Macaca mulatta: one gene and its partner. Each later gene encodes a partner of the first gene's protein in a complex. Links are inferred from orthologs where the notes say so. Each region holds a gene or a part of one and is shown on either strand. Other genes may lie near its edges. The genes, in order: ALB and FCGRT.

Region 1 (3,804 bases):
AAAATTAGCCAGGCATGGTGGTGCGTGCCTGTAATCCTAGCTACTCGGGAGGCTGAGGCAGCAGAATCATTTGAACCTGGGAGGTAGAGGTTGCGGTGAGCCAAGATGGCGCCATTGCACTCCAGCCTGGGCAACAAGAGGAAAACTCTGTCTCAAGAAAAAAAATGTTATCTGTCCCAGAAGGTGGATTATGATAACTACATGACATAATCTACACAAAGCACACACTGCTTGGCACATATGAAGTCTTTGATGAATGACACCTGTTATTTTTATTAATATTTTGTTTGATTTAAACTACATCTCAAAAGGGTTTTGATAGATGGGTAGAGATATGTTCTTAAAATACTCTGTTTCTTCTCTGTATGAGTGAAATCTTGTAAGGTACATAATTTTATGAAATATTATTTAGTGCATAGTATGTTATCATAATCCAACAACAAAAATGCAAACTTTATCACCACACTTTCTGATAATATATAAACATTTATTTTGTAATTGAGTTTCATACCATATTGCCATTATACTGAACTTCCAGTCTTTTCACCAAATATAAAGCACCTGATGTCAGACTCTATATTTCTTTTTATACTTCTTTGCTACCATTGTATAGATTAGATAGATAGACTAGATTAGATGAGATTAGATTAGTCAGACAGACAGGCAATACGTAGTCACACACATAGATGTTCAAGAACTACACCTGGAATGAATGAATGAAGTATACATAATTTATATATACACAAAATGTTTCTAGAGGTATTTTCAGAAATATCCCTAAGGAGTAAGGAATGTTGAGCTTTTGCCATGAGCATATATTATTTTATGATAATGTATTTGACTAATTAACTATTTCAAAAATTGTTAAAGGCTGGGAAAGGGAAGGATGAAGAAACATTCTGGGCAGCAGGGAAATTGTAGCAATTCCACAGAAAAGCCTAGACCATCCTCCTAAATTGTGAAGTCACACCAAAGCTATAAAAGTATAATTTCTTATCTACTTACATGCCCAGGAAGACATCCTTTGCCTCAGCATAGTTTTTGCAAACATCCTTACTCTCAACATAATCAGCAGCTAATGAAGGCAAGTCAGCAGGCATCTCATCATTTTCCACTTCGGCAAGGCAGTGGGATTTTTCCAACAGAGGTTTATCACAGCATTCCTTCAGTTTACTGGAGATTGAATCTTGATTTTCACACATATACTTGGCAAGGTCCGCCTATAAGTAAGTTGGTGGAAATTGTTCAACACGAATTGACATTGCTATACATTCTCCTCAGACCTTTATTAAATTGGCAGAACATATTCATTGTATTCTAAGACCATACACATGTGCCTTCTATGAACATACTCTGTTTGCTCCTAAACCTGGAGATGTAGATAGGACTACAAAAACATTCCCACTTGATTAAAATAGACTAATGAGTAGCAGGTGCTCAGCTCAGTTATTTATTAATTTTATGTTTCTACTGTTAGGGCATTTAAGTTTTTTTCATTAAAACTCAATGCTGTTTTTCCAAATAATCTCCCCAAAATTAAGTGCAGGCCTTTTGAAACCAAATAACCCAATAAAATATGGAAGATTTTTGAAAAATGAGTCAAGATCATAGCCATAGACCCTGCTTACATACATAAAATAGCTGCCTTAAATTTTCCAGAAAGTGCCACGAGAGATTAGGATTCTAGTATTTGCCCATAAGTTTAATCTTGAAGAAAGGGAGAAAGAAAATATTATAAGTTTGGAGAAAAGAGATATCATTCCAAATATGTGCACGTCTAACAAAGACAGTTAATTAAGGGAAGGAATATAGAGAAGAAAAATACGTCATTTCCAAAAATATCTTCAAGTAGTGATCTTCTCCAAGTCCACCTACCTCCCTCAAAAAATCTTCTTAGGCCGAGTACGATGGCTCATGCCTGTAATCCCAGCACTTTGGGAGGCCGAGGTGGTGGATCACCTGAGGTCAGGAGTTCGAGACCAGCCTGGACAACATGGTGAAATCCCGCCTCTACTAAAAATACAAAATTAGCCAGGCATGGTGGCGCATGCATGTAATCCCAGCTACTTGGGAGGCTGAGGCATGAGAATCACTTGAACCCAGGAGGCAGAGGTTGCGCTGAGCCACGATCACACCATTGCACTCCAGCCTGGGCAACAAGAGTGAAACTCTGTCTCAAGAAAAGAAAAGAAAAATCTTCTTAGACATCTACCTTGCAGATGTTCTGCCAAGTAGAACCTTGTAACTGTTCTACTTCAGTTTAAGCCTTTATTTACAGTTAGAGCATGAGTGAAAGGAGTTACAAATCAGTGAATGGGTTTATCAGGTTATTTATAGCCAGGTTAAAAACAGAAAGGTATCACCACCATAGGCACGGAAAGATTGAAGATAGGGCAGACAAAAGCACAGAAGACAGTCTCAACCCACTGTCAGCTATCACTAATGATACCAAACGCATCCATTCTACCAACTTGAGTTTGCAAGCTACCAAAGAGCATGTCGATGACTCTTTACCCTGTCATCAGCACATTCAAGCAGATCTCCATGGCAGCATTCCGTGTGGACTTTGGTAAGATCTGTCACTAACTTGGAAACTTCTGCAAACTCAGCTTTGGGAAATTTCTGGCTCAAGCGAGCTACTGCCCTAAAAAGAAAATCGCCAATCAAAATGGTATTATCATGCAATATTTTATATGAAAGCACTAGGCAAATACTATTTCTCAAAAGAAAATTCAAAATGGACATACAGAAATATTTTTTAAAATTCATTAGTTCTAGTTCTGAACCAAACGGTAATCATTTTTCCTTAGGGCAGAATCATCCATTTAAGAGTGTGTGTGTGGTGGGTAGAAATCTAGTAAGTCATAAAAGCAGAAATAAAAAAGGAACTCTAAAAGGGGTAACAGGCTGAGAAGCATCAGGTTTGGTGTCCAGATGTGACTTCCAGCTCTGGCTTTATCACTTGTTAGCAGCAGGACTTGTTAGCAGAGGGCTCAGCCTCTCTGCACTTTAGCCTCTGCAGTGCCATGACAACATGCTAAATTGAAGAATTCTTTTGAGGATTAAATTAGATAATACATACAAAAGCATTTTATAATCTAGGAAGTACAAACTCCAATTATCTTTTTTCTCAATTGAAACACATTCTTTCTGACTTCTAAAGGTCTCTTAGAAAAGAAATCTTATAACTTCAACAGAATGAGGGAGTTTTTATTGATCATACTTATAAAAAGAAAGATCCAGCACTATCTTCAAACTCTATGACAAGATGTAAACGTCTAATTTTCTTCATTCTCTAGTCATTTCACAGTTGCCAAAATCGGGTAAAGAAGACTTTTTTCCCAAAAATCAATCATTGCCTGTTTATCTGTGTATAATTTTATGTTGGGGTTGTTTTGTTTATAAACTTGGCTTATTTTGGTGGTGTAGATGGTAGGAATGATGGGCAAATACGGTTCAATTGACAGTTTCTAGAGAGCATGCATAACGTCTGTTATTTTCATTTTATCTTCTGTTGTGTTGATTTGCTGTTGACTAATAGGTAAGGAGTGAGGGTGAGGGGGCAGCTAGTATTTTTCTTGACATGGCTATTAAAGTATGCTCCCAGAACTAACTAAGTGATATGAAAACAGAGGCTCAGGCAAAAACATGAGATGAAGATCAGAGCTGGAGTTATGCAAAAATAAGAAGTAACTTCAGCTTAGTTGGCGACTGAACTTAACTATAAGACAAAAAAGGACAAGCAAATAGTTTTAGATCATTGGGAGGAAGATAAAATTAAATAAAGGGATTATATATGTTGTA
Region 2 (4,559 bases), on another chromosome or scaffold:
GGGAGGATTGCTTGAGCCTGGGAGGTTCAGGCTGCAGTGAGCTGAGATTGTGCCACCACACTCCAGCCTGGGGTGACAGAGAATCTGTCTCAAAAAAAAAAAAAAAAAAAAAAAAAAAGACAGCCAGGTGCGATGGCTCACGCTTGTAATCCCAGCACTTTGGGAGGCTGAGACGGGCGGATCACCTGCGGTTGGGAATTTGAGACCAGCCTGACCAGCATGAAGAAACCCCGCCTCTACTAAAAATACAAAATTAGCCAGGCATGGTGATGCATGCCTGTAATCCAGTTACTAGGGAGGCTGAGGCAGGAGAATCACTTGAACCCGGGAGGCGGAGGTTACAGTGAGCCGAGATCACACCATTGCACTCCAGCCTGGGCAACAAGAGTGAAACTTCGTCTCAACAAAAAAAGGCAAGGAAGCCAAGAGTTTGTCTTGGGGGGCGCTGGGGAGCCATGGGAGGGCTGAATGTAGAAAAACCCCTGAGGAATGGGGGCAGAGCGTGGGCTGCAGTGGGAGGCTGACTGAGGGTCCTGACAGGGGAACTGAGGCAGGTGGGCGTGATGGCAGAGAGGACAGAACAGCCTGTGGCTGCAGATCCGGCTCACCCTTCCACTCCAGGTTTCCACGGCCCCTCTCCAGGTGCTCCCGCAGCCGGTGTGGGCAAGAGAATAGCAGGAAGGTGAGCTCCTTGTTGGCCGCCTTGTCCTGCTGCTGCCACCGCTGACTGATAGCCAGGGCCTCGGGCCAGTCCCCACCCCAGGTGCCCTGCTTGAGGTCGAAATTCATGAACTCCTCGCCGTTCAGGGCGAACTTGGCGGTGGGCACCGAGGTGTTGTCAGGGCTCAGTTCACAGCCCAGCAGGCCCTGCAGAGTGTAGGGGCCTGGGGCGCCCACACACATGTAAGTGGGGCCCAGGAGCATGGACCCAGCCCCTTGCCCCTCCGGATTCGAATCTCACCTTTTCCCCCCAAAGCTTTGAAAGCTTCCAGAAAGAGCTTCTCCTTGATCCTCAGATCTGTGGTCTCTTTCTCCCAATACCAGGACACTTGGTTTTCCCAGACCCAAGCTCCACAGGGCTCCGCCTGGCCCCTCAGGCTGTCGTAGCTCAGGTACTGCTGCGGGCCCAGCCAGCCGGACACCCAGAAGGCAGGCGTCCCCGGGGCAGGCGAGGACACCGCGGTGAGGTGGTACAGGAGGGAGAGGTGGCTTTCTGCAGACAGAGACAGAGCTGAAGGGAGAACATGGGCGGGGAACTAGATTGCAGTGGGACAGATATCCAGGGAGGGAGAAGAATCTATTATGGAGAGGGAAGATTCAGAGGGAGGGGACAGAGACCCAGAGAGAGAGAGGGAGACAGAGACAGAGACCCAGAGAGAGAGAGACAGAGACCCAGAGAGAGAGAGACAGAGACCCAGAGAGAGAGAGAGAGAGAAGGACAGAGACCGGGGGGGGGGGGGACAGAGACCCAGAGAGAGACAGAGAGAGAAGGACAGAGACACAGAGAGAGAGAGGGACAGAGACCCAGAGAGACAGAAAGACAGAGACAGAGACCCAGGGAGAGAAACAGAGACCCAGAGAGAGAGAGAGAGAAAGGGACAGAGACCCAGACAGAGGCCCAGAGAGAGAGAGAGGGAAACAGAGACACAGAAGCGACAGGTGGTTCTCAGCCTCAGGCCCAGCAGGAGACGCTGAGAAAGTGAACTGAGCGGAGAAGGCAGCGCCCGGGACTCGCGGGGAACTCGGGTCCCGCTGGCTTCGCCCCTGCCTGCCTGGGGCCGCCTCCCACCGCCCGCCTGCAGCAGGGCCCCGGCCCGCAGCGGCCCTCACCTGCGCCCAGGCTCCCGGGCAGGAGAAAGAGCAGGAGCCCCAGCGCCCAGGGCTGAGGCCGCGGGACCCTCATGCTGAGAGGACGACCTGGGGCGGGAGGGGGCACGTGACTCCTCCCGACCCCCGGCCCGCCCCTTCCTCCCGGGGTACCAAGGGCAGGGCCGGGACCAGGACGCCGAGGAGGGGCTCTGCGGGCTCGGTCCAGACTGACAACAATGCCCTCCTCCTACCTGAAGAACTTTCACCCCTGAACTGGATCTCAGTTAATTAATTACAGAAACTTGATAGGCTGAGAGTCCCGGCCCCGAGCTCGGCCACGCCCCTTCCGTCCCCCTCAGGCCCCAGCCCCTCCTCCCTCGGACCCAGGAGTCCGGGCCCCCAACCCCTCCACCCTCCGACCGAGGAGTCCGGGCCCCCAGCCCCTCCACCCTCCGACCGAGGAGTCCGGGCCCCCAGCCCCTCCACCCTCCGACCGAGGAGTCCGGGCCGCCAACCCCTCCTCCCTCGGACCCAGGAGTCCGGGCCGCCAACCCCTCCACCCTCCGACCGAGGAGTCCGGGCCCCCAGCCCCTCCACCCTCCGACCGAGGAGTCCGGGCCCCCAACCCTTCCTCCCTCGGACCCAGGAGTCCGGGCCGCCTGCCCCTCCACCCTCCGACCGAGGAGTCCGGGCCCCCAACCCTTCCTCCCTCGGACCCAGGAGTCCGGGCCACCAGCCCCTCCACCCTCCGACCGAGGAGTCCGGGCCCCCAACCCCTCCTCCCTCGGACCCAGTGTCCAGACCCCCAGTGCCTCCTCCCTCCGTCCCAGGCGTCCAGGCCCCCAGCCCCTCCTCCCTCAGAACCAGTGTCGAGACCCCCAGCCCCTCCTCCCTCAGACGCACTGTCCAGACCCCCAGCCCCTCCTCCCTCAGGCCCAGGGGTCCAGGCCCTTCCCTCCTCCCTCAATCGGGGCCTGGTCGGCTCACGTTCCCTTCAGCCTCGCTCCCTTCCTGCCTGCGGCCCTGGCCGGCTCCTGGCTCCCGTGACTGGAGACCCCAGTTCCTCTCTCACATCCTGTGGGAGGCTGCTGCTCCCTGACTCCAAGAACATCCAGCCCCACCCCCCCCAGTTGCAGGGCACACCCCAGGCCCTAGGCCCAGCCTCTGTTTGTTTCTCAAAACGCTTGTGGTTCTTCTTTTTCCCCTTCCCTGTGGTTCCCGTTTTTTTTATTTTGAGGGTGTCCGCCGCCCAGGGAATTCTTGACAAAGCTGGGAAAGGAACCGGATGCCTTCGAAGTCCACAACTTGGAGGTCTCTGGATCCTCCTCCTACCCTTTTGTATCCCTGTGACCTTCCCTAGCGCTGGCTGTTAATCAAAATCTTATGGAAGCCTCCCTAGTTCCTCCTTCAAGCCCTTCCCCCGACATCCCGTTAGAAAGGTCCTGCAGGTGCTCTTTAATATCCTTCTGCTGGCCGGGCGCAGTGAGTCACGCCTGTAATCCCAGGACGCTGGGAGGCAGAGGCGGGCGGATCACGAGGTCAGGAGTTCGAGACCAGCCTGGCTAACACGGTGACACCCCCGTCTCTACTAATAATACAAATATTAGACCGGGCGCGGTGGCTAACGCCTGTAATCCCAGCACTTTGGGAGGCCAAGGCGGGCGGATCACGAGGTCAGGATGATCGACACCATCCTGGCTAACACCGTGAAACCCCATCTCTACTAAAAATACAAAAAATTAGCCCGTCGTGGTGGCGGGCGCCTATAGTCCCAGCTACTCAGGAGGCTGAAGCAGAAGAATGGGGTGAACTCAGGCGGTGGAGCTTGCAGTGAGCGGAGATCGTGCCACCACCGCACTCCAGCCTGGGAGCGAGACTCCCTCTCAAAAAAAAAAAAAAAAAAAAAATTAACTGGGTGTGGTGGAGCACCTGTAGTCCCAGCTGCTCTGGAGGCTGAGTCAGGAGAATTGCTTGAACCCAGGAGGTGGAGGTTGTGTAGCAGGATGAGCCACAGACAAAACTCCTCAGACACCAGATTAAAGAAGGAAGAGGTTTTTTATACAGCTGGGAGCGTCAGCAGACTCGCGTCTTAAGAGCCAAGCTCCCGGAAAAAGAAATACTTGGCCTTTTTAAAGGCTTACGACTTTAAGGGGTCCACGTGAAAGGGTCGTGATAAATCGAGCAAGTGTGGGAAACGTGACTGGGGGCTACGTGCATCAGCTAACAGAACAAAAAGTTTTACAATGCTTTTTTTTTTCATACAGTGTCTAGGATTTACAGATAACACAAGTAGTTTAGGCCAGGGGTTGATGTTATTATTATTACTTTTTTTTTTTTTTAACTCCTAGGGCTGGGTGGTGGTGCCAAAGTTGTCTGGCTATTTATCTTACTTTTGTTTCTTTCTCTCTTTCCTCCTGTCTTGTGAACTAGGCAAGGTGGGGGGAGGAGGGCAGCAGGAGTAGTAGTGGTCTCCTTCCTTATCCCCCGCTTTGAGCATTTTCACTAATTAGTGGGAGTTCTCACTTTTATTTTTACTTTCTGAGTCTCTTTGCGAGACAGAGCGATAGTTTTTTTTTTTTTTTTTTTTTTTTTGAGACAGAGTCTCGCTATGTCGCCCAGGCTGGAGTGCAGTGGCCGGATCTCAGTTCACTGCAAGCTCCGCCTCCCGGGTTTACGCCATTCTCCTGCCTCAGCCTCCCGAGTAGCTGGGACTACAGGCGCCCGCCACCTCACCCGGCTAGTTTTTTGTA

What was found.
Region 2: the proteins of ALB (region 1) and FCGRT are in contact, whole or in part, in a crystal structure (PDB 6QIO), measured with the Homo sapiens proteins. The link is inferred for Macaca mulatta from reciprocal best matches to the Homo sapiens genes ALB and FCGRT. Residues at the interface, in NP_000468.1 of Homo sapiens: Arg105, Glu106, Thr107, Tyr108, Gly109, Glu110, Asp113, Asn133, Asn135, Gln441, Ser443, Pro445, Thr446, Glu449, Leu484, Leu487, His488, Thr491, Pro492, Val493, Tyr521, Val522, Pro523, Lys524, Thr530, Phe531, Thr532, Phe533, His534, Asp536; in NP_001129491.1 of Homo sapiens: Arg65, Glu67, Glu69, Gly72, Ala73, Val75, Trp76, Gln79, Val80, Ser81, Trp82, Trp84, Glu85, Lys86, Thr89, Arg92, Asn172, Lys173, Leu175, Thr176, Leu179, Phe180, His184, Glu188, Arg192, Gly195, Asn196, Trp199, Lys200, Glu201.

The regions. Positions count from the first base shown.
Region 1 is NC_133410.1:60,476,651-60,480,454, forward strand, and holds part of ALB (albumin), read right to left. Parts: intron 2,645-3,804; coding exon 2,515-2,644; intron 1,221-2,514; coding exon 1,006-1,220; intron 1-1,005. UniProt on the Homo sapiens protein: Binds water, Ca(2+), Na(+), K(+), fatty acids, hormones, bilirubin and drugs. Its main function is the regulation of the colloidal osmotic pressure of blood. Major zinc transporter in plasma, typically binds about 80% of all plasma zinc.
Region 2 is NC_133424.1:61,952,711-61,957,269, reverse strand, and holds the start of FCGRT (IgG receptor FcRn large subunit p51 precursor), read right to left. Parts: upstream 2,932-4,559; 5' UTR 2,797-2,931; intron 2,675-2,796; exon of another isoform or gene 2,600-2,674; intron 2,513-2,599; exon of another isoform or gene 2,061-2,512; intron 1,918-2,060; 5' UTR 1,904-1,917; coding exon 1,831-1,903; intron 1,232-1,830; coding exon of another isoform or gene 1,214-1,231; coding exon 962-1,213; intron 885-961; coding exon 609-884; intron 1-608. UniProt on the Homo sapiens protein: Cell surface receptor that transfers passive humoral immunity from the mother to the newborn. Binds to the Fc region of monomeric immunoglobulin gamma and mediates its selective uptake from milk.